Neurospora crassa OR74A: one gene and its partners. The protein of the gene in region 1 interacts with the protein of each later gene in a pairwise test. Links are inferred from orthologs where the notes say so. Each region holds a gene or a part of one and is shown in the gene's direction. Other genes may lie near its edges. The genes, in order: NCU03018, NCU07041, NCU04439, NCU01008 and NCU03794.

What was found.
Region 2: the proteins of NCU03018 (region 1) and NCU07041 interact in binary tests that used the Saccharomyces cerevisiae proteins (3 or more experiments, as listed by UniProt). The link is inferred for Neurospora crassa OR74A from reciprocal best matches to the Saccharomyces cerevisiae genes UTP18 and KRR1.
Region 3: the proteins of NCU03018 (region 1) and NCU04439 interact in binary tests that used the Saccharomyces cerevisiae proteins (3 or more experiments, as listed by UniProt). The link is inferred for Neurospora crassa OR74A from reciprocal best matches to the Saccharomyces cerevisiae genes UTP18 and HCA4.
Region 4: the proteins of NCU03018 (region 1) and NCU01008 interact in binary tests that used the Saccharomyces cerevisiae proteins (3 or more experiments, as listed by UniProt). The link is inferred for Neurospora crassa OR74A from reciprocal best matches to the Saccharomyces cerevisiae genes UTP18 and IMP3.
Region 5: the proteins of NCU03018 (region 1) and NCU03794 interact in binary tests that used the Saccharomyces cerevisiae proteins (3 or more experiments, as listed by UniProt). The link is inferred for Neurospora crassa OR74A from reciprocal best matches to the Saccharomyces cerevisiae genes UTP18 and PWP2.

What each region holds. Positions count from the first base shown.
Region 1 is NC_026501.1:8,426,113-8,430,243, forward strand, and holds NCU03018 (small nucleolar ribonucleoprotein complex subunit), read left to right. Parts: upstream 1-1,331; 5' UTR 1,332-1,617; coding exon 1,618-3,489; 3' UTR 3,490-3,667; downstream 3,668-4,131. Other genes in the region: NCU03019 (hypothetical protein), read left to right, coding at 184-337, 415-698, 762-1,073; NCU03017 (hypothetical protein), read right to left, coding at 3,717-4,106. UniProt on the Saccharomyces cerevisiae protein: Involved in nucleolar processing of pre-18S ribosomal RNA and ribosome assembly.
Region 2 is NC_026504.1:4,997,092-5,003,199, forward strand, and holds NCU07041 (90S preribosome/SSU processome component KRR1), read left to right. Parts: upstream 1-2,828; 5' UTR 2,829-3,007; coding exon 3,008-3,262; intron 3,263-3,320; coding exon 3,321-3,670; intron 3,671-3,737; coding exon 3,738-4,095; 3' UTR 4,096-4,602; downstream 4,603-6,108. Other genes in the region: asd-4 (GATA type zinc finger protein ASD4), read right to left, coding at 1-21, 93-287, 858-942, 1,074-1,345; NCU07042 (alcohol dehydrogenase), read left to right, coding at 4,750-4,808, 4,940-5,970, 6,039-6,055. UniProt on the Saccharomyces cerevisiae protein: Required for 40S ribosome biogenesis. Involved in nucleolar processing of pre-18S ribosomal RNA and ribosome assembly. Essential for vegetative growth.
Region 3 is NC_026504.1:3,353,261-3,359,882, forward strand, and holds NCU04439 (ATP-dependent RNA helicase dbp-4), read left to right. Parts: upstream 1-2,741; 5' UTR 2,742-2,862; coding exon 2,863-3,009; intron 3,010-3,086; coding exon 3,087-5,411; 3' UTR 5,412-5,546; downstream 5,547-6,622. Other genes in the region: NCU04440 (hypothetical protein), read left to right, coding at 1-2,091. UniProt on the Saccharomyces cerevisiae protein: ATP-dependent RNA helicase required for ribosome biogenesis. Involved in the release of U14 snoRNA in pre-ribosomal complexes. Required for pre-rRNA cleavage at site A2.
Region 4 is NC_026505.1:2,663,652-2,669,058, forward strand, and holds NCU01008 (U3 small nucleolar ribonucleoprotein IMP3), read left to right. Parts: upstream 1-2,110; 5' UTR 2,111-2,309; coding exon 2,310-2,410; intron 2,411-2,469; coding exon 2,470-2,500; intron 2,501-2,578; coding exon 2,579-2,602; intron 2,603-2,669; coding exon 2,670-2,780; intron 2,781-2,835; coding exon 2,836-3,120; 3' UTR 3,121-3,486; downstream 3,487-5,407. Other genes in the region: NCU01007 (mito ribosomal protein S18), read right to left, coding at 611-868, 1,031-1,443, 1,540-1,639; NCU01009 (hypothetical protein), read left to right, coding at 4,014-4,290, 4,344-5,407. UniProt on the Saccharomyces cerevisiae protein: Required for the early cleavages at sites A0, A1 and A2 during 18S ribosomal pre-RNA processing.
Region 5 is NC_026505.1:2,436,187-2,442,504, reverse strand, and holds NCU03794 (periodic tryptophan protein 2), read left to right. Parts: upstream 1-2,511; 5' UTR 2,512-2,685; coding exon 2,686-2,816; intron 2,817-2,883; coding exon 2,884-5,452; 3' UTR 5,453-5,622; downstream 5,623-6,318. Other genes in the region: NCU03795 (cell division control protein 12), read right to left, coding at 94-672, 730-1,040, 1,109-1,271, 1,343-1,447; NCU03793 (hypothetical protein), read right to left, coding at 5,703-5,920, 5,985-6,184, 6,310-6,318. UniProt on the Saccharomyces cerevisiae protein: Required for bud-site selection and cell separation. Also involved in nucleolar processing of pre-18S ribosomal RNA.

The sequences.
Region 1 (4,131 bases):
CCTTTTCGAAAACGTCAATCTGAAGATCTTTTCATCCATACGTTAGGTTAGTTAGCTGTCTGTCTTATCCAGGATACGCCCAGTTGCTGTCCGGTCTACTCCTTGACAAGTGCATTTTTCTTTTAGCTCCCTTCGCATTCCAAGGACTTGACCCGCCGAGATCGTTGAATCACATTGCTGAGAATGACACAATCATTGTCTCTCGCTGTGTTTGCAGCTGCGGCACTTTTTGCGACTAAGGGTCTTGCGAGCAACTTTACCGTTAGCAATGGCCAGATTTTCACCCCTGGTTTTGTTATCGTCGATTCCCCCCAGCCGGACACGCCTCTTGGCGGAGGTTAGTACTATTAGTACCCGGCTGGCTGTCGGCAAAGGACTTGAGGACTTGCTACTAATAAGCTTCAACTTGTGTAGACAATGTCGAGATTGCGCTCGATGTTTCTGCCAATGGCAAGCTTCCTCTACCGCCCTACGGCGACGACGCTTCCAGCCAAATCTACAACATCAACATCTTCCTTTACAGCTACGTAACGGGCCGAAACTTGACCATCACCAACGGTACTGCGTCGGCCAACAATGCCACACTCGGTGATATCATGCTCTCCGAGCCTGGTAGCACCGTGAAGCATGTCCGGTGGACATGGCCCGACTGCATGGTTGGCGATGGTACGAATGGGAACGATCGTGGCAGTTACAATGTGGGTTTTCCAAATAGTCAGCTTAAGAGTGTGTTGATAGCCATTTCACTGACAATTCAAAAGATCTCCATCCACCAACGCTTCAGACTCAATGGCGAGAACCACTACACGATATTTGATCTTCCCGTCTCTGTGACCAACAGCATCAGCAAAAGCGACGACCGCCCGTCTTGCCAATCACTTGATAACCCGTTACTGGCGCCCGAGGACATCGATTGGACAGACACTAACGAACTCGGCGCCCTCTTTGCTCCTGGTGATTCGACGGTTATTGAGACGTCGAATGTTGGTAGTGGTGCTGGGCTGGCGAGCTGCAAGCATGCACTTAACTTGTTGTGTGTGGTGGGCATTAGCTGTGCTCTGTTGTTAAGCTAGGCTCTAGACTTGCTTGTCGTCCAATAATCAAAAAGGTGGCTGTGAGATGACATAGAATCATCTGCAAGGATACCAAAACACCACGTACTCTTCATGCATATGTTCTTTTTGAAATCATATATTTGCTCTGCGTGGCTCATAATTTTAGTACTAGTTCGTGTCTGGTCAGATTTATTGTCTTCGAATGAGTTCACATAAAGTCATCTTCATCACAAAGATATTGTTAATGAAAGTAGCATTGAGGCATCAGATAAGTTTAATATATGTTTATTTTTTTACTTTTTTTTTTGTAGGGGTACTTCAAACTTATTCCTTGAACAAGGCTGGCGTGCTTGTGATAGCAAGTGGGTCCAGATTAAGTGGGACAGGATCTGCGATCTGCAAGGCTGATAACGAAAAAAAAAGTTCCCAACCTCAAAACAAACCAAACACTAGCGACTGGTCGTGGCATTTCCGTCCATTTCAACTCCATTTAACCAGGACCGGATCTCACAGCAAAAGTTCCCGTTACTGGGCTTTGCGCAATCTCCTAAATCAGAACAAAATGGCGCCACAGACGAAAGACGAAGTTTCCGACGACAACGAATTCGTCGGATTCGACGAGGAGAGCGATGAGGAGATGCACGACAATGATGGCATGTCAGTAGACGACGACGACGAGGACGACTCCGATATGGATTCAATTGCCGACCCGAGGAAAAAGTACGATATTGAAGAGAAGGACTCTGACGAAGAAGACCTCGAACGATTCGTCTTGGGCAATAACGACACCTTCCGCGCCCAGCTTTTCCGCGACGATTTCCTCGCCGATATTACCGATTCCAAGGCTCTCATTAGGACCGACAAGCAAGATGACACGACTGGCCTCGAACATGTCGACGATAACGCCCTCTTCGCGTTCGATACTGGCGTTCCCGGTAATAAGAAGCAGACAGAGGCCGCGCCCTCTGCGCTAGAGGCTTACGAGCAGAAGGAGGACCCCCCAGCGTGGGAGGACAGCGATGACGAGCGGTTGACAGTATCCCTTGCGGCTGCCTCGCGGTTGCGCAAGCTGCGTCAGTCCGAAGAGGAGGATGTCGTGAACGGCACCGAGTACGCGCGCCGCCTGCGCTCGCAGTACCTCCGACTATACCCCCTTCCGGAGTGGGCCAAGGAATCCTCGGCCGCCAGCCAGCGCCGGAGGAGAAGATCTTCAGCCGCCGGTTCCTCCTCCGAGGAAGACAGTGACGCCGAAGACGACATCGAATCCGCCCTCCCTCTCGAGACCTTCCTCCGCGACGTCAACTCTTTCAACGCCAGCGCCGATGCCCGTGGCAGCAAGCGCCGCAAGCTGCGCCCCGAGACCATCGACATTCAGCGCTCGCGCGACATCCCCGACATTCACAAGCAGTCCGTCAGCTCGTTGTCCTTCCACCCCAAGCACCCCATCCTGCTCTCGTGCAGCGTCTCCTCCATCATGTACCTACACCAAGTTGACCCGACCGCGCACCCGGTTCCGAACCCGGCCCTCACGTCGGTGCAAGTCAAGCGCACCGACCTTCGGCGCTCCGAGTTCCTCGGTCCCGATGGCGACGACGTCATCTTCGCCGGTCGCCGGCGCTACTTCCACAGCTGGAACCTCTCGTCGGGTGCCGTCAAGAAGATCACCCAGATCCAGGGCCACCAGCGCGAGCAGCGTACCATGGAGCACTTCCGTCCCTCGCCCTGCGGACGCTACCTGGGGCTCATCGCCTCCGAGAAGAAGGGCGGCGGCATGATCAACATCGTCAACGTGCGCACGATGCAGTGGATTGCGCAGGCGCGCACCAATGGCCGCGGCGGCATCTCCGATTTCGCCTGGTGGGGCAACGGCAACGGCCTCTCCATCCTCGGCAAGAACGGCCAGGTCACTGAGTGGAGCATGCTCAGCCGGCGCACGGTCGGCGTTTGGCGCGACGAAGGATCGATCGGCGGCACGGTGATTGCGCTGGGCGGGCAGAAGGGCACCGGCCCTAGCCAGATTGGTGGCGATCGCTGGGTGGCTGTGGGCTCGAATAGCGGCATTATGAACATTTACGATCGGAATGATTTGGTTGAGCCTGTTAAGAAGGAGGGTGGTGCGTCGGCGTCCAAGGAGGAGACAGTGCAGATTAAGAGCATCCCCACCCCGCAGAGGACGTTTGAGCAGCTCACGACGCCCATCTCAGTGGTGACGTTCGCGCCGGACGGTCAGCTATTGGCGTTTGGTAGCTTCCACAAGAAGGACGCGTTAAGGCTGGTGCACTTGCCTAGCTGCACCGTTTACAGGAACTGGCCTACGGAGCAAACGCCTTTGGGTAGGATCACTGCTGTGGCGTTTAGCCACCAGAATGGTGGTGATGTGTTGGCGGTGGGCAATGATGTGGGCAAGATTAGGATGTGGGAGATTAGGAGCTAGATCTGCGCATTGTGTAGTGCGTTGAGTTGGCGATAAAATAGTGCGGAGTATAAACTAGTGGTAATCTAAGGGTTTGAAGGTTTTGGGCCATGAAATTCTGTCCAGCTCGTCTAAAAGGTTTCAGCAAGTGTCAGCCCTATGGCAACGATATGTATTCCCATGCTTCTCCTTGTACGCATGACATGCATCAAACCACGTCTTCAGAGGCATCAGTATCCCCTCAATCCTCAGGTGCTTCCAGTTTCCGTTTGCTTTACCTCCTTCTCCCTTTGCGACTTCTCCTTTCCCTTCAACTTCGCCTCCTTCTTCTTCCCCAGCCTTTCCTCTCTTTTACTCTGCAACTTTTCCTCCAAATCCGGATCGAAAATGTGCTTGAGCATCGCGTGCTCCGGCTGATCTTCGATGACCTTATTCCTGGGGTAAATCTTGCGATGCCCTATTGAATACTTTGAGAGCGCCTGAGGTGTTGTGAATCGCTGCGGCCTTGACTCCCCCCCGGCCTGAATGATTCTATCGGTTTCAAGGACATCATAGATGTTGACGTGTACGGCTTTAATGGCCTGGTGAGGGCGAAAAGAAATGGGTATCAGTAATGGCCGGTTCCCCGGTAGTGTGGCCTAGAGCGAGAAGGGACCAAAGAAG
Region 2 (6,108 bases), on another chromosome or scaffold:
CTGCTGCTGTTGTTGTTGCTGCTGTTGCTGGGCACACACAGTTAGTTTACTGACTGAAGCTTGCCGAGGTCGGACGGATATGAACGGCTTGCCTTTTTCTGCTTGGCCAAGTCAGGGCGCATGGTCTTGACGCGGTTGCGACTCTTGATGACATCGGTCTTTAGGGAGATTGGGCGTGGACGGCCATGCAGCTTGAGGAAGAGACCACAGGCATTGCAGAGGACCTGGCCCATCTCGTCGCGGCGCCATAGCGGCGTTGTCGAGGTCGCGCAGTTCTGGCACGTGGGCTGTGTGGTTTCGCGATCATGGTTAGCCATTGTCGCCATGTTTGCTGTTGTTGGCGGTGGTGGTGGTGGTGGTGGTGGTGCAGGTGCGCTGTCGGATAAGAGATGGGAACCTCAATGGTATCGAGAGGGAGAGATAGAAGGCCGATTAGATGCTGGCGATAAGCCAACCTTGATAAATAAATGCGGGAATGGAGTGGAAGCTGGTGAATGAGATAGAACGTGGAGGGATGTCGATAAGAACGAAGCACGGAAATGATAAGGAAATTTTTTGACGGGGCCGCTTCCAGGTTTGGGGCGCTGCAGCCCAGTGGGTTACCACCAAAGAAGTGGGCTGTTGCGATAACAACCCGGTCGGGCCATGGAGGGGCTTAGATAAGCAGCCAGAATTCCACCAAAACCCGGCTCTATGGCCAATGGCAATCGTTGCCATTCTCAGCAAACCCGTGGCCTTGGCTTTTCGTGACGTTGATCCATTGCCAACCGCCCGATTGTGTCGCAAGACGCGACTGGGATAATGCGATACGCGATAAGGGGGACAGATACAACAACACCAATATGGAGTAGACTTACCAAGTTGCCTCCTGGACCTGGATGCGAGCTGGCAGCTGGAGAGGTGCCTGGAGGAATCATGGGAGGAGCGGCCATGGTCATGGGCCTGCCATCCATTGCAATGTCAGCAAAGTTGGCGCATCGCGGTTACGTGTCAAGCAGAGCCACCAATGCCAATGCGCCTTGTACCACTGCTTCTTCTTCGGCATCTGTGAACCCAATTGACTGAAAACTAACCTAGGCTGTGGTGATGTGACTGTCGCCGGCGTATTGTTGTTGTTGTTGTTATTGTTATTGTTGTTGTTGGTGGTGACGGTGGTCGTGGTGGTCGTGGTGGTGGTAGTGGCAATGGATGCGATACCGGGCAACATATGCGACATGTTTTGAGGCACCGAGGCCTGGGTCGACGTCGAGCTCGGTCGGGATATGGGTTCGGGTTCAAGCGTGGTCGGCACTGGCAAGGATGGCGATGCCGCCGCGGGCTGCTGTTGCGTCGTGGGATCCTCCATTATGACGGCTTGAACCGGAGGCAGCTCCAACTCGGTGGGTGGTGTAAATGATGTTGGATATTGCGGATGAATAAGGGGAAGAAGGCCCGGAGATCGAGTCGAAGCCAGCTTGACTTTCACGGCGGTTGAAGGCGGCGTCGGTGCCAATTGACCCACTCGTGGTGGATGCGAGCGAGACCGTGGGCCCGTGACCGGGATTGCCAACTTCGGGATCGAGACTGCGCAGGCGGAGGGAGGTGCGGGTGTGTGGTGGTCGAGGTCAACGTCCCAGAAATGACGTCTGTGCTTATGATGAATTCGATTTGTTTCTTTTCCTTTTCTCTTCTTCTCAAGGATAGACAACGACAATTGCCGTCGATCTTGGCAAAGGTCACAAGAAGCAGCGATACCTGAAGGTCTTGGGGTTCGGGATAAAGACCGACGCCAGGGATACGAAGGGGAAATCGAAGGGAGTAGTGTAGAATGTCGCGGGGCCGAAGAAGAAAAAGAAGGGGAAGATGTTGCAGGGACGGAAGGAGTTCTGATTCTTGGCGACACAAAACCGAACCTACCCCTTTCTGACGGAAAACGTTGATGGATTTCGAAACCTCGTGCACGGAATGCTGTAATCCGTGGCGTACCACAGTGCAGATTGTGCTTGCCCGATCATGATGACCACAGCGCGCCAGGGTCGTCAGATCTTTGCAGGTTCTCATTGGGCGAACCTGGGATGATTTCTTGGTTCTTCAGCTGGAAAACCAACGACGAACGTTATCCAGCCTTACCGCGACTTTATCACGGCGAACCTGAAAATTGCTGCTGTTAAGTTCGTCAACTTTGACTCGGGCGGGATTCGATGCTTCACCATCAATTACTTCAGCGTATCTTGAACACCTTGGTGAGATTTTACCGACGGTACAGGTGTCAACAATGGCCCTGCTGGGAGTATACAAATCACGTTGAGACCCCAGCAAGTCAAAACGCTCTTGTCGCCAATCCCACCATGGCATATCAAGACCTTTTGATGTCGCCAGCACGTGTGATTTCTTGTTGATGTTCCGTGCCGTGCCGTGCAAGCCCCTGTCATGATAAGCTAGTATGTAGATAAGATAACATCTACAACCTGGGGGGAAAAAACAGCTGAAAGGAGCAGATGGCCAAGAGTACTTGGATAGACTCGTTGCGAAGTACAGCAGGACAGTAATGACAGAACCAAACTTCCACCTCGCTGAGATTTGAAATAACTGAATCCGGTCGTTTTCTTATATTTGCTCCTTTTTTATGCTGTTGTCGTCCTCAATGAAAATACCAGGTTCCAAAAGTTACAACTTCCATGCAAGTGGAAGTTCCAGTTATCAGATAAGGAGCTGCCCCTGCATCTGCCAGCTGGCCGCTGATCCTGTCGCGCTTCTGCAGCCGGAACTCAACCTGCAAGAAGCGCCGCGCCCCCACTCTTACCAGCTGCGGCAGGCTTGTGTTCCAAAAATTTCCATCCGTGCAGCGCGATTCGGCTGGCCATCTTGCCATACAATCCCTTCAACAAGCCATTTATCAAATCCAACCACCAGACCCAAGTCGCTCGCCCTGATATCGTGACCTGTCGCACAACCTCAATCGAGACCTCTGATTATTCATAAACATCAACAGCCCACAAGAGCCCCGAGAAACACATTTACAGCCAAAATGCCGTCCACACACAAGAAGGAGAAGCCGTGGGATACAGACGACATCGACAAGTGGAAGGTCGACCCTTTCACCAAGGACGAATCCTCCGGCCCCTTCCTCGAGGAGTCTTCGTTTATGACCCTATTCCCCAAGTACCGCGAGCGTTATCTACGAGACTCGTGGCCACTCATCACCAAGGCCCTCGACAAGCACGGCATCACCGCAGTTCTCGATTTGGTGGAGGGTTCCATGACAGTGAAGACGACAAGAAAGGTACGGCGGATGCGTTTGTTGTCTTTATAGTCACCACTCTTTGCTAACTCACGTCCAGACATATGACCCCGCAGCTATTCTTAACGCCCGCGATCTCATCAAGTTGCTCGCCCGTTCAGTACCAGCCCCACAAGCGATCAAAATTCTCGAAGATGGCATGGCCTGCGACATCATCAAGATCCGCAGCATGGTACGGAACAAGGAGCGTTTTGTTAAGAGGCGCCAAAGAATTCTCGGACAGAACGGCACAACGCTCAAGGCTCTCGAGCTTCTCACACAAACATATATCCTCGTGCACGGAAACACAGTGTCGGTAATGGGTCCTTTCAAGGGTCTGAAGGAGGTGAGGAGGGTTGTTGAGGACACCATGAACAACGTTCACCCAATTTACATGATTAAGGAGTTGATGTAAGTTTTGCGCCTGCACGCCCACTTGCGACGCCCCACAACAACAATAACTGACATGAGAAAACAGGATCAAACGCGAACTCGCAAAGGACCCCGCTCTTGCCCACGAAGACTGGTCTCGTTACCTCCCCAACTTCAAGAAGCGCACGCTTTCCAAGCGCCGCGTCCCCCACGTCGTCAACGACAAGACCAAGAAGAACTATACACCCTTCCCCCCTGCGCCCGAGAAGAGCAAGGTGGATCTCCAGATCGAGTCCGGCGAATACTTTCTCGGCAAGGAGGCCAAGCAGCGGGTGGCGGAGCAGGAGCGCGCAGAGAAGGCCAAGCAGAAGAAGGAGGAGAAGAAGCGCGAGCGCGAGAAGGAGTATGTGCCGCCCGAGGAGTTGACGGACAAGAAGGCCAAGAAGAGGAAGACGAGCGACTAAGCTGGTACAAGTGGTGCAATCCAAAATATGGGGGCGGTGGAGGTGGAAATGGAGTTGAGGAAGACGATGATGAAGAGAAAGAGAAAGGATCCTGGAATCCCATGATACCCATACTTCAGCAGACGATTGAGATTTCTCCTGCTTCGGGATCCAAGGGTGATCTGGTTGCTAAATTTCACCAAAAGCCTTTGTCAAATGTGTTATCAAAAACAATGACTTGTCCAGAAAAGATGTCGGTTCTTGAATCTGTCGACATTTCGAAACCCAAGGCCGAAACAAAACCCGATGACGATCGCGAATAAAGCCCGATGTGGCAGACCCGCACCACAACCGGGCTGCTCCACCCCGGCGGATCGCAAACCAGGGGCATCACAAGGCGGGCCGAGGCAGTTGCATCATTGGAGCGGGATCCGGCAACGAATGCGGGGGAGAGTGGGGGCGGCCATTGGTCGGTGGCAGGGTTGGTGGGAGAGGCTCAATGACAGAGTGACAACACCCCTTTCCCCGGGTCCAATTGATAACAAATCTGGCCGATGTCGCAACTGATTTAAACTTGATGACCCTTTCCTTCTTTCACTTCTTGAACATACTTCAACACTCATCCAGTGGATTGGCCTCGGTAAAACACAACCCACACATAAACACAACGCCAAGATGCCTCTCCAACTCACTGTCAAGAAAATTGACGGTAAACCCGGCCAGGTTTACTACCCGTAAGTGTTTTGTTCTTCCTCTTCACATAACCTCACCTTTCTTCTCCCCCATACATATCCCCATCACCACCACCAACCAACTCACTCCCACCATCCTCCCCGCATGACTAACCCTCGGCCTCCCCATCTAGCCTCCAACTAAACACCATCCCCAAACCAACCCCCGGCCCCGGCGAGCTTCTCATCCGCCTCCGGTCCTGCGCCCTCAACCACCGCGACCTCTTCATCCGCCAACACCTCTACCCCGGCATCTCCTTCGAGCAACCTTTTCTCGCTGACGGCTACGGCGTCGTCGAGTCCACTGGCCCTTCCGTCTCCCCTGCCGCTTCCCAGCTCGTCGGCAAACCCGTCCTCATCACCCCCAGCCGCGGATGGATTTCCTCCCCCGACGGGCCCGACGACCCCAACCAGCCCTGGACGGTCATTGGCTCATCTCAGTTGACCGACGCCGGCACGGGGCAGGAGTACATTGTTGTTCCCGAGGCGGAGGCAGTACCCGCGCCAGAGCATCTGAGCGCTGCTGAGGGCGCAGCCCTCCCGCTCGTTGGACTAACGGGGTGGAGGGCGTTGGTGACCAAGGCGCAGGCCAAACCGGGGCAGAATATTCTCGTGACGGGAATTGGGGGTGGTGTGGCTTTGCAGATGTTGCAGTTCGCGGTGGCCATGGGGTGTAATGTCTTTGTGACGTCGGGTAACGCGGAGAAAATCGAGAAGGCGAAGAAGATGGGAGCCAAGGGGGGCGTCATTTACAAGGACAAGGATTGGGATAAGCAGTTGATGAAACAGTTGCCGAAGGACAGGCCGTATCTGGATGCGGTGGTGGATGGAGCGGGTGGGGACGTGGTGGCGAGGAGTGTTAAGCTGTTGAAGTCGGGAGGCGTGATTAGTAGTTATGGCATGACGGTTTCGCCTAAGATGGATTGGTTGATGCAGGCGGTGCTAAAGAATGTGGAGTTGAAGGGGTCGACGATGGGGAGCAGAAAGGAGTTTGAGGATATGGTGGCGTTTGTGAGAGAGAAGGGAATCAGGCCGGTGGTGAGTAAGGTGGTGAAGGGACTGGATAATTTGGAGGGGATTGATGAGTTGTTTGAGGAGATGAAGGAGGGAAAGCAGTTTGGCAAGTTGGTGGTTTTGATTGATGGAAAGGAGGACCAGGACAAGAGTAAGTTGTGAACATTTCTGGCGCTGGGGAGAAAACGATGTGAGGAGGTTATAACTGATCATACCTAGTCTCAGTAGAGCACTAAAAGCATCAAAAAAGGAGCGATATCTTCCAATGTCTATACTCATTGAGCAAAAG
Region 3 (6,622 bases), on another chromosome or scaffold:
GCTATGCGACCACCCCCTCCACCTTCCAAACAACTGCTTTCAACACCACCTACTTCCAGGACAAGGGAACTTGTGGTACCCGATACCGGCAACAGCTACGTGGAGGAAAGCGATGTCTACACGGACTCGGAAAAGATGAGGGAAGTGCTCGAAGAAGAGGTGCGAATGGCTCAACAAAAGCGATTAGCCCGATATACCCCAGAGCCTCCAGAACCACCCAGAATCGCAAGGCGACCAGCGTCAACCCTCTCCAATTCTCTCCAACCTCCTTCCCATCAAGTCGATCAACACCAAGACTTGTTCGACACAGAGGCGAAATCCATGTCTGACAAACAGTATCCGTCCTTTGGCAAGGTGTCCAAGCCCACAGCTGCAAGACCAAACCAAACATCCAGGCCGCGAGCCGAACAGTCAAATACCACCAACGTGGAAACACCGCCTCCTCCGTATACTACTGCTCCTCCTACCTTCGTGCAACGATTACTGAGTTTGATTCGCCGTTCGACATGGGGCGTGTGGAAGCTGTTCACATTCCTTGTACCAGTGCTCCTCATCGGTCTGATAGTCTTAACCGCGTCTTCTTATGGTTCGCCGGATGCGAATACCAGCATCCGATGGTATGGCTGGAAGCACTGGAGGAGCAACGTCGGGCAGTTCATCCCCAGTCATCCGCAGCTAACGGATGATCAGTTTAATGACTTGAAGGACTTTATCCTTGAACAATCTTCTTCTACGGAGAGTGCTGTCAAAAACATCCAAACTCTTCTTCCCCGGATGGTGCACGTTAAACGTGGTCCAAACGGCGATCTCATCATTCAGGACGATTTTTGGCATGCTCTTCTGGATAAGATGCTCAAGGACAGCTCGGTTCTCACGCTTGACGGCACTGGTGACATTTCCGAAGAGCATTGGGACGCACTACGGCCGCGCCTCATCAAAGCCGGACTTTTCGAGAAGGGCCCATCGGATGAGCATATCTTGCAGATTGCTGAAGGCACTGTTTCCAAATCTTGGGAACGTTGGGTAACCAAGAACGGGGAAAAGGTTGCCCAGGTTGTCAAGGAGCATCTACCAGGCGACAAAGGCGATGGGGTCACGCGTGACGCAGCCATCAGCCGAGATGAGTTTGTGGGCCTCTTGAAGAAAAGGATTGCAGAACACAAGGAGGAGATTGATGGTCAATTGGATTCCGTCAAGAAAGGGCTTGAGACACTCATCGACACTACGGTCAAGGCGGCCATCTCCAACTCCGAAGGCAGTCTTTCCAAGTCCGAAATCACCACCTTGGTTAGGAATATTGTCAAGAAGGAGATTCCTCGGGCGCAACTTGAAGCAGCCGCTAAGGACGGCATCATGCGCAACTACCACGACTACGTTGAAACTCAAGTCAATCATTTCGGCCTGGGCAATGAAGCTGGTATCGTCTTGTCGGAATCATCCCCCGTATACCGACTTGAGTCGCAAGCACTGCCAGGCAACAAGCACCTCAGCAAACTGCTCGGCAAGCCGAAGCCCATTTCGAGCAAGGATAAGGTCACCCTGGAAGCAGAATACATGCTGGCGCTCTCTGCCTGGAACGACGTTGGCCAGTGCTGGTGCGCTGGCATCTCAGCCAGCAGGGGGGCCGAGCTCGCCGTGGAGATGGCCAAACATGTCATTCCCCAAGCCATCGTCGTTGAGCACGTCCATCCGAACGCGACGAATGACCCTGGGTCCATGCCCAAAGACATTGAGATTTGGGGATACTATCCGGACGCGGACGACAACAAGCGACTCCTGGCTTGGATGGACGAGTTGTACCCTGGCGAGCGCGAAGCTGACATGAAGATGGTCGACGCAAACAACAAAAAATCGCTGTCCCTCATCAACAGAAAATACGTCAAGATCGGCGAGCTGGAGTACGACTATGCCAAGACCAGCGGTAGCCACGGCATGTTTGTCCACAAGCTGTCGGAGGAGTTGCTCGATCTGGATGCGGCGACGTACAAGGTGGTCGTCAGAGCCAAGACGAACCATGGAGCCCTGGATCATACATGCATTTACCGCCTGAAACTGTTTGGGGAGGAATTAGAGTACGAGGGCGAGGAATAACAGGATTGATAATGGGTATCTGGGCGACGGATCTTGAGCTACCGAATACGTATTGAAGGGAAAAGCAAGGAAATTGGGAATGGGGCAAGGCGTTTTGGTCCTTTTTTTTTTTTTTATCGCTTTCAACTTTGGGAAACGTACATATGGGTGGGTCTAGTGGGTTGGTTTTATTGCGGGTGTCTACCTACGAAGGAATCATGTGAGCGAGCGATACCCGTCTTCAAGCTCATTTTTTTCGTGGTTCAATACATTATGCTTTCATGATAGTTTGGCTCTTTTCATTGCTCAGGCACGGTGTTGATGTTCGAATGTTGCTGTTCTAAGTGAAACATGTAGATTGCTGAAGTTGTGGGCGCTGAGATAAAACCACTACAATTCGAATTTGGTTCGATGCAAAAGCTACTGTGAATTTTCTACTTCAGCCCCGTACAACTGCCCATCCAACCCATCATGAACCATAGCAACGACTTGAGAATGTCACTGGGGGCTGACAACTCGATGGTCGTCTGTCTGCTCGTATGACCCTAACCCTGGTCTGAGCTGGCCGCGAGTCCGAGACCCCTGCTGCAGATCCCCTCGCTTACAGTGGATGAGGTGGGTCGAGCTGGCAGAATTGCTCTCCGCCAAAAGTTTTCCCATTCGCATCGAACTGAAAGGCCACCAGCGACGACCCGCAGGCAATTGGATTCGCTCGACTAGCAGACCCGACCTTTGGAACTTCGTCGAACCCACCACGCCCAATTTCCAGCACGTTCAGACGATACAAACACAATGGCTCCAGGAGGCCCCAAAGGCCGCGGTGGCAAGGGCAAAGCCGAGAAGGAGAGGTCCAAAGCCAACAAGGCCGAACACAAGACGTTGAAGAGGAAAAGAGAGTTGGAGAACCTCGAGGCGCTTCAGAAGAGAATCGACGAACTTGTAAGTCCTAGTACTGAACCCCCGTTTCTCACCATACAACCGCACACGCTTCTAAATATTGTGTCTCAATCTACTAGGACCCCAAATCCACCGAACTCAACAAGTTCTCGGACCTTCCCCTTTGCGAACCTACCGCCTCTGGACTACGCGCATCCCATTTCGAGGTCCTAACCGATGTCCAACGCGCCGCCATCCCTCTCGCGCTCAAAGGGCAAGATATCCTCGGCGCTGCTAGGACAGGTAGCGGCAAGACCCTCGCCTTCCTTGTTCCCGTCCTCGAGAAGCTATACCGTGCACGATGGACTGAGTACGACGGTCTCGGTGCCCTCATTATCAGCCCGACCCGTGAATTGGCCGTCCAAATATTTGAAGTTCTCAGGAAGATTGGTCGCAACCACAGCTTTTCGGCAGGCTTGGTCATTGGTGGAAAGAGCTTGAAGGAGGAGGCGGAGCGTCTTGGGCGCATGAATATCCTCGTCTGCACACCTGGCCGTATGCTGCAGCATCTCGACCAAACGGCCGGCTTCGATGTCGACAACCTCCAGATGCTCGTGCTTGATGAGGCCGACCGCATCATGGACATGGGTTTCCAACAGGCCGTTGACGCTCTTGTTGAGCATCTTCCCAAGAGCAGGCAGACCCTGCTGTTTAGCGCCACACAAAGCAAGCGTGTCTCGGACCTTGCCCGGTTGAGCTTGAAGGACCCCGAATACGTCTCTGTTCACGAAGCCGCAGCATCGGCGACCCCCGTCGGCCTCCAACAGCATTACATCGTCACACCTCTCCCTGAGAAGCTCGACACGCTATGGGGCTTCCTACGAACGAACCTCAAGAGCAAGATTATTGTGTTTATGTCCTCCGGCAAGCAGGTCAGATTCGTCTACGAAAGTTTTAAGCGGATGCAGCCCGGTATTCCACTACTACATTTGCATGGTCGCCAAAAACAAATAGCACGTCTCGAGATCACGAACCGGTTCACGTCCGCGAAATACTCCTGCCTCTTCGCCACCGATGTCGTGGCCAGAGGTGTCGATTTCCCCGCCGTTGACTGGGTCATCCAGGTCGATTGCCCTGAAGATGCCGACACCTACATCCATCGCGTCGGCAGAACGGCGCGTTACGAGAGCAAGGGCCGCGCCGTCTTGTTCCTCGACCCCAGCGAAGAAGAGGGTTTCCTTAAGCGTCTCGAGCACAAGAAGGTGACCGTCCAGAAAGTGAACGTCAAAGAAAACAAGAAGAAGAGCATCAAGAACGAACTACAGTCACAGTGTTTCCAGTCACCCGATCTCAAATACCTCGGACAGAAGGCTTTCGTCTCGTACGTCCGTTCGATTTACCTGCAAAAGGATAAGGAGGTGTTCAAGTTCGACAAACTCGACCTCGACGGTTTTGCTTCCAGCCTGGGTCTCCCAGGTACTCCACAGATCAGATACCAGAAGGGCGAGGACGTCAAGAAGCTCAAGAATGCCTCGCGCGCCGCCATGTCCAGCGGGTCCGACACCGAAGGCTCGGACGGCGAGATCCGCAAGAAGAAGAAGGAGGTCAGGACAAAGTACGACAAGATGGCCGAGCGTCAAAACCAGGACGTCTTGTCGACGCATTACCGCAAGCTTCTCGGAGAAGATCAGGCAGAAGACAACGAGGAAGACGACTTCCTCTCGGTCAAGCGCGTGCTGGACGACGATGCCGCCCTCGACGACGCCGCCGGCAATGCCAAGTCCGGCACCAACCCCGACGGCACGGCCAAGGTGGTCAAGCTGGGCAAGAACGCCGAGTTGGTCATCGACTCGCACCGTCGCGAGAAGCTGCTCAAGTCCAAGAAGAAGCTGCTCAAGTACATGGAGAAGGGCCAGAAGCTTGTGTTTGACGACGAAGGAAACGCCCACCCGCTCTACCAGCTGCAAGACGAGGAGGACTTCCAGAAGGAGGGCGACGCCAAGGAGCTCAGGCAGAAGTTCGTCGAGAGCGAAGCCACCAAGGTCAAGGAGCAGGATGTCGAAGACAAGCTGCTGGCCAAGCAGCGGAGGAAGGAGAAGAGGGAGCGCGCCAAGGCAAGGGAGAGGGGAGAGGAGGTCGAGAGGGAGAAGGGTCCCCTGCAGCCGGCGCTGCTGGACGCGCACAGCGATGTGGAGGAGGATCCTTTGGCTTTGCTCAGAAGTTTGCCTGTTGCTGGCAAGGGCGGTGACAGCGGTGACGAGAGCGAGGACGATAGGGAACCGCCTAAGAAGAAGGCTAAGAAGTGGTTCCAGAAGGATGACTCGGATACGGAGTATAGCGATGACGGCAGGCCGAGGAGGAAGAAGGCTAAGATGGAGGGCGGCAGGAAGGTCATTGAGATGGATCATGAGCCGGATAACTTGCAGGATTTGGAGGCTTTGGCCGCTGGCTTGTTGGAGGATTGATGAGTTGGTTTTCAATGTTGGTGTTGGTGTGGGAAAAGGAGAGATATCGGGGTTCGTCATCCAATCATGGATGTTTACATACGTATTTTGCGATAGTTTTAGACTTGTTATGATACCTAAACCACGTATTTTGACAAAAGGGTCGGTCCCATGCCACTATGCTCCCTTCGTGTAGAATACATTTCCAGCTCCAGTCTCTATCCATCCTTTCCCAGCAGCTTGCGGCGAGATTTCGGGGTACTGTAAGGCTGGACGAAGCATTTCGTAAGTTTCTGAAGCATGTCTCTCGCTCCTTCCAGCACAGGACAGCACCCCGGACACTCGGATGGATGGCTGCTTCCGTTTTCGCCTTCGTCAATCATTTGTGGATGAAGGAGCAGGCCAGAACCTGGAAGAGAAGTCAAGGTGTCAAATTTGATACTTCGATCATCCCCATCTGAGGCGGGATTGATCTGTTTCTGTCGTTCGTTACCTCTCATTTATTGAAAGTTTGAAAATGCTCTACCTTCTCTTTGTGTCCTCTTTTCCTCTGAAATCATTTTTTTCGTAGGCGAAACTGTGAGGTAACCCAGCTATCTCTCCGCACTCGTGGGAACATGCCTTTTCTTCCAAGTGATTCGCAACAACAGCGGGCTGGTTAATGTCAACCCTGGGTGTCAGCTACACTGGCCGTTCCGTCGCACCACCTATCCTTCAAGGGGGAAAAAAATAATCGATAAACATGATGGTGTTGTATGACATTTACAAGTAGCAATGTCGGCACAGCATATGTAAGGCTCAAGCCTCAGATCAAGCAGTTCGGAGTAAGTTAAGTATCAACACTCTTGCTAGGGAACCCATATGATGATATTTCGTCCCTTGAATTATTTGCACACTCTCTGCAAGAGACTGGTTGTTGTCTAGGTAGGTATCTGATCAAAGCCATCTCGTTCAAGGCATCTGCCTGAGGTCCGTAGCGGGGAATAGGAGAAATGGAGAGTTAAGGTGCTTCCCCTCGACTGACGGGAGGCTTGTGTCAAACGAACGACGGGACGAGATGCAAGCATCCATGATATAGCCCCTTCACGATAAGATGCCGCGTTTGTTGCGATCAGTCTTTTACACACCCACACACCCCTTGGTAAGGCTGTCTGATGTTTTCCTGGACAGCAATTATCGCCGTCAACAGATGTTCGAGATGACTGGTACAGCTTCATCTTACTTGTAAATGC
Region 4 (5,407 bases), on another chromosome or scaffold:
CATATTACATACGATATCGACAGTAAGTAGAAAGAAAGGAAAAACAGGACTTGTACAGAGAATTTTATATTTTGAGTTAGAGAGAGGGAGGGGTACATCGTTGTATGATTGTTAGGTGGCTTTTTGCGCTTCTGAGCGGGTGGGCAGGAGGATGGTTCATCTTTGGGTTGTACATTACATTTAGCACCTTTAGACAAAAACTAGAAGGTGGATATTGGAACCGGTTTTGGTCTAGGTTTAGTCTTTTTGTTCGTTTCTCCGTCAGGGTCTCTGTAGATTATGCAGTAGCACAGACGAAGTGAGTGATCGTTCACACCATCTTTCATGCCCACTATCCGCATTCCTCCACAATCACCCTTTGATGACCGCCATCATCCAAGCCCAAACTTTGCAAAATACCATTTTGTGTGCCGTGTATACAGTAATAATACACCAACTCTACGATAACCGTAATAGAGTCCGCCGATCAACCATCCATTCAGCCCATACCGTGCTACTAGCCATGCTTGCTAGCCAGACGGCGACCTCACGCCCGTAACCGCCCAGTCATGCAAATTTCCCCCATAAATTCCCCCTTCATTCCGCCCAAGTCCAGACCTTCCAGACCATTCTAGTTCTCATCCTCTCCATCAAAGTTCTTGGTCTTGTTCGCCTTCTGGCCCTTGGGCACAACAAGCGGCAACAAGTGCCTGCCGTTGCTGTTCTTGAGGATCTCGGGGTGCTTGTGCACAGAGGGGTGAATACCGAGGCCGATGGCGCGCCGCACCATCTTGGCGATCTTGCGCTGGTTGACGGGTTTCAGGCCGGTTTCCTTGGAGTGCCTTATCCGCCCAAAGGGGGTGATGTAGTCGGAGATGAGGGAGAAGTTCTGTTGTCCCCAAGGAAATTAGCATTTCGCCTGAGGCCAGTTTTCGAGACAATGGAATTGGGAAGGGAAGAGGGGTGTGTGAAGGAGGAGGAACAAGAGAAAGGGAGAGGGGAGGGAGTGACAAGAAGAAAAAAGAAAAAAAAAAGAAAAAAGAAAACATACACGATAGTTATCCAACGGACTAAACCCAAGCTCATCCACCACATCCGCCGCCTCCACCCATCCCCCGTTCCTGCCCTTCATCTCGTACGGTGACAGGTCGCGCGGCGCGTACACGTCGCCGTTGTTCCACCGGCGCCTCATCATGCGCATGTAGTTGTTGGAGGTCACCTCGGACTGGAGCAGCTCCTGCACCTTCTGGCTGTTGCTGCCATAGCGCTGTCCTCCGTCGACGTCGCGTGCGTTGTTGTAGCTGTCTCTTCCTCCCCGGCTGCCGGCGCCGCTGTTTAGCAGGTTGAACATGTCCGACTTGTACTGGCTCGAGCCGGCGTTGTTGTTGTTGTTGCTCGACGGCGACGAGGTGTTGGTGTTGGTGCGCGGGGCATTTTGGAAGGAAGTGGTGGGGATGTCGCGGACTGTTTGGTGATTGAAGGTGTTGTTAGCTTATGTGTTATGCTTATAGAGTTGTGGAGGGCGGCATATCGGGTTTGCGATCGACGGAGCGAACATACTGGCAGCGGCCGGTGAGGTGGTCGAGAACTGGGCGGTCCTCTGGCCGGCAGCGCGGCACTGCCTGAGCGCAGAGGAGAGGAATTGACGAGAGGACGACATGGTGGTGGTGGTGGTGGTGGTCGTCGTCGTTGTTGTAATGGTTACAACAGCTTGTAACAGCTGGGCTTTGGCGATGTGCAAGTCCTCTCGGGGAAACCACACACACACACACAGACAAGAATGGAGCTCCCGTTTCGCGATCGGTCGGAGTCGGGAATCGGGGATCGGGGGTTCAGTCGCGACGGGGAGATGCGGCGGCGGCGGGCACGGTCGGTGCGGGCAATTGGAAATTGGAGCTCCGGGCCGGCAGCGACACTTTTTGGCGGATCAATCTCTTTTCGGCGCAGTGGCGGGGCCTGCCGCGGACCGGGGCGCTGTTGCGGGCTTGCGGCTGGCAGCTGGCAGGGCGGGAGCTGATTGCTGGAAAGCCTGAAGCGTCCCGGTTTATTTTATGGGGTAAAATGGAGCTCGCTGCGGGCTAAGAGTGCGCTAAGCAAGGGGCCCGGCAGGCGAGAAAGTGTGGGGCAAGAGTTTTCATTGCAGCAAAAGTTCAACGCCAGAACACCACCACCACTGCAGCTGCTGCTACTATCAGATTACGATACTGAACCATCCATCGCCTCCACACCCGTCTGATTGATACCGCATCTTTGATACCTTTCACAACGACACACTTCTCGACCCAACTAGAACAGCACACCATCAGTGACACAGACAACGAATTGCCAACATGGTCCGCAAGCTCAAGCACGCGGAACAGAAGCTTCTTCGGAAGACCGACTTCATCAACTACAAGTCGGACAACAAGCACAGAGATCACGATGTCGCCAGGTACGCTCATTCGCCTTAAGTGGTTTTTGTGTGAGAACATCTTGCTAACAGTCACACAGACGGTACATGATTCAGAAGCCCGAGGACTATGTATGTTAATCCAAGCAAGGATGAGATGAGGCTCACAGTGACTTTTCATAATGACCATGACAACTGACCCCCTTCTAGCACAAGTACAACAGGATGTGCGGTGTAAGTTTCATCAACTAACCTTACCTATATGAAACTGTTCATGACATACTGACATGATATGCCACAGTCCCTCCGCCAACTCGCCCATCGTCTCAGTTTGCTTCCTCCAGACAACGAGGTGAGGCGAAAGCACGAGGAGCTTTTGCTCGACAAGCTTTACGACATGGGAATTCTGTCGGTATGTCTTCCGGTATCGAAGTTCAACTCGAGCAGTTATTAACGTCCAATCACAGTCCAAGTCGAAGCTGTCGCAGGTGGAGCACCAGGTCACAGTCTCGGCCTTTGCCAGGAGGCGACTGCCCGTCGTCATGACCAGACTTCGTATGGCCGAGACCGTGCAAGCAGCGACCAAGATGATTGAGCAGGGCCATGTCCGTGTGGGTGTCGAAGAGGTCCGTGATCCTGCTTTCCTGGTGACGAGGAGTATGGAGGACTTCGTCACTTGGTCTGTCGGCAGCAAGATCAAGCAGAACATTATGAAGTACCGCGACAAGTTGGACGATTTCGAGCTTCTTTGAGTGGCGGAAGAGCATGGCTGCGGGCATATCAGGAAGTGGTAATGGTACGTTGGGAGCTAAGGCTGGAAAATGGATCACTGGGAAAGGACATACTACTGCGTTGTTTGCAAGTTGGCATTGGGAGGAGTGCTCATATGCGAGCAATATTCTGTGGCGTTTTAGGGTAAAGGCATTCAAAATATGTGAAAGGGATTTTAAGATACCACCATTCGGGTTTACAGGTCAATCACTCGGAGTTGCGGAAGTGTACCAGCTGCGGGCTCCCCACTCGAACTTGCAGTGTCTCACTGTGACCAAAGCCTGGTGAGTCTTCCTTCCGAACCACTACCGACTAATAGCCGACAATATCACTGGCATACTTCTGGGTTTTAGGGGTGCTCCTGCGTTCTTTCTGTTCCGTTCCTCGAAACTGGCAGCACACGAAATAAAACATCCGACGAGCCTCGCTCCTTCCGTAAAGTAGCTCATTTACAATGGCTCACTCTTTCATGAAAATCGTCCCTTTGGCCTGCTCCTCTTCTTGGCATTTCCTCTTTTTTCTCTGCATCTTCCGCTCCCACTCCCTAGCGAGACCTGACCTAACAAATGTCTCCGTATTCCTAACACCGCATCATTCAGTTCTTCACTTCATCCTTTATCCTCGGCTTTATCTCTATCCTATATGGTCCTGGTACTCCTGGTTGTCTTCTCTGCTGTTACCAAGGTCTCCTTATACTTCTCGTACCTCCTTACCTTGATCCTCATCTTGTCATTGAATCAAGGTTGGATTTCTTTCGACACCCTGAGACACCGGGCTCCATATCAGATCAGCATCGCTCTGTGGGAGTTCGTCCCCCGGAAGAGCCCTCCCGACACCAAACCGCCAGTCTCATCCTCTATGTTCTACAACCGCCATGCCTACTTTCCAGAAGAACCGCGTTCGAGATGCGAACCCATACTCTGGGTCCATCGATCCGCCACCATACCAGCGCGCCCTCTCTTCGGAGTTGTCTCTCCCTAGTTTCAGGGGTAACAATACCTATCAGGAAGCACTGAGCAACATCTTGCATTCTCGGTACTCTTCGACGGATCGTAACTCGATTCCCAAGTATGAACATCTTGATTCGGTTCCAAGTCCGAATATAACCATCAAGTCAGGCAACATGAGGTTTATGATTCCTCCTCGGAAACGTACGTCTACAAGTCATCTTTGTCCCAAAGCCCGCTAACTGTTCACCAAGCAGATCCTTTCACTCCCACGGACACTACGCCTACGAGCTCTAGAGTACCGCGCAACGCAAGCTCCCGAGTCACATTCGATTCTTCATCCCATGATCTCGATTCACCACTAGAATCAGGGCGTGATTACTTCTGTGGCGCAACGTATGAGGAAGAACCGTCCGGCCCTTCTTACAATCTCTACCCCCTCAAAGAATGGATAGAGACGAGCGGAAACCAGGACCCCTCAAGCAGTGACTTTGTCCACCATACATTGCCCGATAGTCAAGTTTCTCAGGAACTGTCAGTTACTTCGAAAGGCCGCCACCAGCATGGCCACAGCTTAGAACCAAAAGTTCGAACGGTTGCGGAGCTCGCGAAGTCTAGCGCATTCGGTTTCACCGGGCAGAAGGGGATACTGAAAGCTGTTCCATCGCCGAACTTGCCGCCCTTGTACCACCAAGAGGGAATGCTTGACTTGGCTACTTACATTGCCTCACGGCATCCGTCCCCCATGGACCACACGCAAGCTCAAGTGGATGTTACGAGCCATCACCTTGCGGTTATAGCACCCTCTTTTGGGGAAATGAACACTTCAAATATCATTTCAGCCTGTCTGGACTCCCCTCGCCACCTTAACTCCACCGACAGCCGCATGAACCATCATAATGGTTATTCCTTCACACCAGAGATGCAGCCATACAATGACGGCGATGGCTCAAAAGATTCTGCAATCGACCAGGCAGTGACGCCTCGCGGATTCCCAAAACACAAATCAGCATCCGAGCTCGTCGCATACTGGGAGTCAATGCAAGGTAGCAGCGATGCCAACAATGCCACGCCGGCCAAGCAAGGCTTGCCACATCGACCTTGGGCTGAGTTCACGACCGTCTCTCCTGATTCCAGGGGAAGCACGAATCGTACTAATTTCGGTAAAGCACCCGAAGAAAAGCTTTATCCTGTAGCTGAGCATATCTCAGTGCCATCAGATAACAAGTTCGACTCAGCGGCAATGTCATCAGTCATGGGAAACTTGAACCGCACAAGAGCCTGGCTACGAGATCTTATCAAGCAACCGCAGCCTTACAAG
Region 5 (6,318 bases), on another chromosome or scaffold:
GAAAAAAATCGAGGCGCAGGTACATTAATGCTCGATAGAACGGGAGACGGTGGTCACCCTTGTAGAGGATACCGCAAAAGCCGTGATAACCGCTTAGCGGCGACCGTGGCTGCGAACGGCATTTCCCTGCAGAGACTCGAGTTCCATCTCGAGGGACTTGATCTGGGCGTGGGTCTGTTCAAGGTCCTTGTTGAGACGGTCGCGCTCGGCAATGAGCTTTTGCTCCCACTGCCTGAAACGCTGCTCCTCGATCTTGACCTGTTCTGTGAAGCGCTTGCGGAGAGCCTCCTCCTCCTCCTTGAACTTGGGGTTGTCGAGCTTCCTTGGGCGAGCCTCGCCGAACTTGCGGGTCTCCATTTGCTGGGCGCGGTAAGCCTCGTAGTGCAGCTCCTCTGTTGTGTGGATAAGGTCCAACATGTGGGTGCGGATAAGAATCGAACGGAGCTTCTTGAAGTCGCAGTGTTCCTCGTTCTCGACTTCGGCCACACCCCACGAGTATTGACGGCCCTTGACAATACGTCCATCGCTGGTCTTAACATCCTTCTCGGAGCCGATAACGGCAAAGGGCATAGCGGCCATCAAGCTGCGTGCGTGTTGTGCGGCAGCCTCGTCATCCTCCTCAATAGGTGGCTGGTAGATCTTGATACCCTGAGCTTCGATGACGGCACGGATCTAGAAGTCATGGTTAGCGATGATGGGTGGTATCTTCAAGTAAAGGGAAAAACCTACCCTGGACTTGAACCTCGCCAGGTCGGCAGGGCTGAGAGTGTCGGCCTTGGCAATAACGGGAATGAGGTTGACGCGAGAGCAGAGTCTCTTCATGACCTCGATATCTAGGGGCTTAAGCGTGTGGCCGGTGGGGCGGATGAAGTACAAGCAGGCGTGGACACGGAGATCAATCTTGTCCTGACGGCGGGGTTGTTGCTCCTGGAGCATGTAGGACTCGTGCTGGTCGTCGAGGAATTCGATAATGGGCATCCACGAGTCGCGGTTGTTGACGTAGTCACCAAAGCCGGGGGTGTCGATAACAGTCAGGCGAACTATAAGCTGGTTAGACAGAGCTCTCCTACAAGACACCAAGGTCCCCCTGCGTGATGTGCTGTCGTACCCTTGAAGAACTTCTCCTCGAGCTCAGCCTTTGTGATTTCGATCTCGACGGTCTTGTCGACCTGCTTCTGGTGGCGCCTCTTGTGGTCGGCATAGTTCTTGATGGTCGTGGAGAACAGCGTGTTGATGAAGGTGGTCTTGCCGAGGCCGGACTCGCCAGCAACCTATCCACCCACGCCGTCAGCATTGGTTTTACAAGCGCGAGGTTCGGCAAGCTTTGGACAGTGAAGCGCACCATAATAGTAAAAGCAGCGCCTCTCTTAGCAACAATCTTGTGTCGCTGGTTGGGCAGATTGGCAATGCCAATCGGTGAGGCGCTCTCGGTAGTGGCAGGGGCCATCTTCAGCTGGGCGAAACACGAAACTGGGAGATAATTATGGGTAGAGGATTAAGTCACGATCCCGTTGCTGTAACGGCGAGAAGAAGCACCGGCAATTGGAGAAAAAGAGCGTCAGGCGGGATGCGTGGTGTACGGGTATGGTGGTGGTCGTGAATGGGAATCGAAATTAGGTTGGTGTTGACAGTGGACGGGTGGGAGCGAGAGGCAGACGGGGGATGGAACTGCAGTGGTGAGTGGACGGGGGACCCGTCGTGGAGCTCTGTGCTTTCGTTCAGGGGAATTTACTTGTTCAAATTTCCACACCACATTCATCTGGCCCAACCCAGCACCACACACCCACGCAGGAGAGAGCACCAGCGACGGGGACGGGAGCGCCAGGCCAAACCTAGCCCACACTGACTGAACCCCAAGCACTCCAGGCACTGCAGGGCCGCGGCAGCAGACGGACGGAGCAAGCAGCGAGCAAGCAGCATTCGATTCCATCCTCCAGATGAGGTGCCTGGGCGGGGCCACGGCAGCCGTCTGTGATGATGCCGAGAAGGCGCACGGTACACGATCCATATAATCCAATGGCACCTTTCGAGCCCGGCATTCTGCAGTAGTGTAGAGCTGCCACCACACAAGGCCGCTCTTGACTGGCTGCGCGGCAGGGAAATGAGTGGACCCTCCCCTTTTCCACTTGCTTCCCACACTTCCCCAATTCCAGGTCCCCAGAGACGGACCTACGCTGGCAGCTCTCCACTGAAACGCGCTTGCCAGGTACCCTCGCCGAGCATTTAATCGATGCGTGCCTTCCCTGCTAGCGCCATTGGCGGTGATCAGCCATTCATTGCCATGGAAACTTGGTCGACCCTTTGACCCTTTGATTGCCAGCTCTGCCAGCCTTGCACTGTGCTTGGTGACCGTGCTTGGTGGTGCCGTGCAGTGGTTGGTCTCGCTGCGGTCGGTGAGGCTGCCAGATACGCCAAGTCTTTTGCCAGCTGGTGCCAAAGCGAGGAGCTAACCCGACTCCATTCCCCGCCAAAAAGTTTATGAAATTTTTGGCTGGCAGAATCGCCATTGAACGTACGGGCGGTCTAGGCGCAACAGCAGCAGCCTGTAACTGAACTTCTGTTCCACTTACCTATACAGACTCGAAAGAGTCCTCCAGTTCCTGTACATAATCGAATCCCCAGATACTATCCCAGTTCTGCTCCATCTCCAACGTTGACAGTCGAGGCATGGAATAGTGTTTGAAAATGAAGACCGACTTCAAGTTTTCTAATCTACTGGGCACAGTCTACTGCCAGGGCAACCTCTTGTTCAGCCCGGACGGTACCCATCTCTTCTCGCCCGTTGGCAACAGGGTGACAGTCTTTAACCTTGTCGAGTACGTCTCAAGATTCCCTACACACCTGCCTGGCGCATGGCTTGTAAGCTGGCTAACACGGTCGCAGTAACAAATCATATACCCTTCCCTTCTCCCACCGAAAGAACATTGCGCGTATCGGTCTCACGCCCCAGGGCAACCTCCTACTCTCCATAGACGAAGATGGCCAAGCTATTCTCACCAACGTGCCCCGGCGCGTAGTACTATATCACTTCTCCTTCAAGGCTCCAGTAACGGCTCTCTCCTTTTCGCCATCGGGGCGCCACTTCATTGTTGGACTCGGCAGGAAAATCGAGGTTTGGCACGTTCCCTCAACACCCGACGCCAACGCCGACGGCGAGCTCGAGTTTGCGCCCTTCGTCAAGCACCATACCCACGTCCAACACTTCGACGATGTCCGTCACATCGAGTGGTCCCACGACTCGCGATTCTTCCTCACATCTTCCAAGGATCTCACAGCAAGGATATGGAGTGTTGATCAAGAGGAGGGGTTCACACCTACAGTTCTGTCCGGTCACAGGCAGGGTGTCGTGGGCGCGTGGTTTTCCAAGGATCAAGAGACGATTTACACAGTCAGCAAGGACGGCGCCGTATTCGACTGGCAATACGTTGCGAAGCCTGGACAGGACGAGGATATGGTGGACGACGATGACCTGGCCTGGAGGATAGTCAACAAGCACTATTTCATGCAGAACAGCGCCACCGTACGATGCGCCGCTTTCCATCCCGAATCGAACTTGCTGGTTGCCGGTTTCTCGAACGGTATCTTTGGCCTCTACGAAATGCCCGACTTCAACATGATCCACACTCTCAGCATCTCCCAGAACGAAATTGACTTTGTGACGATCAACAAGAGCGGCGAGTGGCTGGCGTTTGGCGCATCCAAGCTTGGTCAGCTTTTGGTGTGGGAGTGGCAGTCCGAGTCTTACATTCTCAAGCAGCAGGGCCATTTCGACTCGATGAACTCCCTCGTTTACTCTCCGGACGGTCAGCGGATTGTCACAGTCGCCGATGATGGAAAGATTAAGGTGTGGGATACGGAATCGGGATTCTGCATTGTTACCTTCACAGAGCACACGAGCGGCATCACTGCTTGCGAGTTCTCCAAGAAGGGCAATGTCCTGTTTACCTCGAGTTTGGACGGTTCCATCAGGGCTTGGGACTTGATCAGATACAGAAACTTCAGGACCTTTACAGCACCAGAAAGGCTATCTTTCTCTTGCATGGCAGTTGATCCTAGTGGCGAAATCGTGGCGGCTGGCTCCGTTGACTCTTTCGACATTCATATTTGGTCTGTCCAGACTGGCCAGCTCCTAGATCGTCTTTCGGGACACGAGGGCCCTGTGTCATCCTTGGCCTTTGCGCCTAACGGCGGTCTTCTTGTGAGTGGTAGTTGGGACCGCACTGCCCGTATCTGGTCCATCTTCAACCGCACACAAACAAGCGAGCCTCTCCAGCTCAACTCGGATGTTCTCGACATTGCCTTTAGGCCAGATTCTCTCCAGATTGCCATCTCCACTCTCGACGGCAACCTGTCGTTCTGGTCGGTCTCGGAAGCTGAGCAGCAAGCTGGTCTTGATGGACGCAGGGATGTCTCCGGCGGTCGGAAGATCGGTGATCGCAGGACTGCGGCCAATGTTGCCGGTACCAAGGCTTTCAACACCATCAGATACAGCACAGACGGATCGTGCCTTTTGGCCGGCGGAAACAGCAAGTATATTTGCTTGTACTCCGTCACCACCATGGTTCTCCTGAAGAAGTACACCGTGAGCGTCAATCTTTCAATTCAAGGCACTCAAGAGTTCCTCAACAGCAAGCTTCTCACCGAGGCTGGACCCCAGGGTCTCCTGGACGAGCAAGGCGAGGCCTCCGATTTCGAGGACAGGATAGACAGGTCACTCCCAGGCTCCAAGCGCGGCGACCCCTCCGCACGGAGGAAGAATCCCGAAGTGAGAGTAAACGGCGTTGCCTTCTCCCCGAACGGAAGTGCTTTCTGCGCCGCCTCCACAGAAGGTCTTTTGATCTACAGCCTGGACACCACCATCCAGTTCGATCCCTTTGACCTCAACATGGAGATCACCCCCACCTCTACCCTGGCCGTGCTCGAGAAGGAGAAGGACTACCTCAAGGCTCTCGTCATGGCTTTCCGCTTGAACGAGGCCGGTCTGATCCAGCGTGTCTTCCAGGCCATCCCTTACACCGACATCCCTCTGGTGGTCGAGCAGTTTCCCAACGTGTACGTTGCCAGGCTGCTGCGGTACGTTGCCGCGCAGACCGAGCAGAGCCCTCACGTTGAGTTCTGTCTTCTTTGGATCAAGGCTCTGGTCGACAAGCACGGCGCGTGGTTGTCTGCCAACCGCGGCAAGGTCGATGTTGAGCTTCGTGTTGTCGCAAGGGCTGTTTCCAAGATGAGGGATGAGATCAGGAAGTTGGCCGATGAAAACGTCTACATGGTTGACTACCTCCTCGGTCAGGCGAGCGCTGCTAAGGAGACTAATACCACCAAGACCTTGGCGCTTGAGTGGGCTACCACCGGCTCGGATGAGCAGCCGGGCGCTGGCGGTATGAGCTTGAACGATGTCATGCAGCAGGATGAGGGGAACGCCAGCGAAGACGAGTGGATCGGTTTGGTATAGGTCCTAGGATTTAGAGTACTATAGGATTTTTGTAACGGTAAGGAAGGGTACCACACATAGGATAGGCGCTGATACGGAAAATGTTTGTCAACCGGCATTCTAGTTTATAACTTGTACAGATGATTTTGATACCAATTCATGGCAATAGAGAAAATAGGGGTTTTGGGATACAACTACAACGCCATGCGAAACTGTGTGAAAGCAATGCCATACCCCCTTAGTCCAACATTTGTGGATTGCTAGATGCCTTTTACTCGACATTGGGAATATCCTCCCATGCCTCATCGAACCCACAGCTACGTACCCAGTTTGGTCCTGGTGCGAGGACCGAGTCGACAATCAGGTGGTAGACCTTGTTCCAGTAATCGTCATCTCTTGTTTGATAATAGAGCTGGCAAATACGTGCAGCTCGGGCAAGCTTGATGCTATGACCATCGTCCTCAAAGAAATGCAGGTTGGAAATGATTTCTTGAAAATCATCAGTATAAGTAGCGGTTCAAGGCCGACAGAAGCGAGGTAATCATCAACTCACCTTCAGGAGTCCCACTTGTCTTCTTCTCCTTAGGCTGATAAGAAGTAATAGCATCAAGCGACAACTCCGGCGCTCCACGCGCCGCGTACTGAACCAAATCCATCCTGATCTTCCACTCGAGAAGACGGACCTTGGTGTCAAGTGATATCCAATCTTGTGCGTTGACTGTCGTGAAAAACGGTGCTGATGTGACATGGTGCCTATAGAAAGTCGTTCGTCAGTCAGTATCAATCTTCCCGTCCAACTCCTTGCCTACCCCTTCTTGAATTCAAGGGGGGGCAGCGGTACGTGACCAGAAACACCAAAACCGGACGAGGAAACTCACATCAAGAAG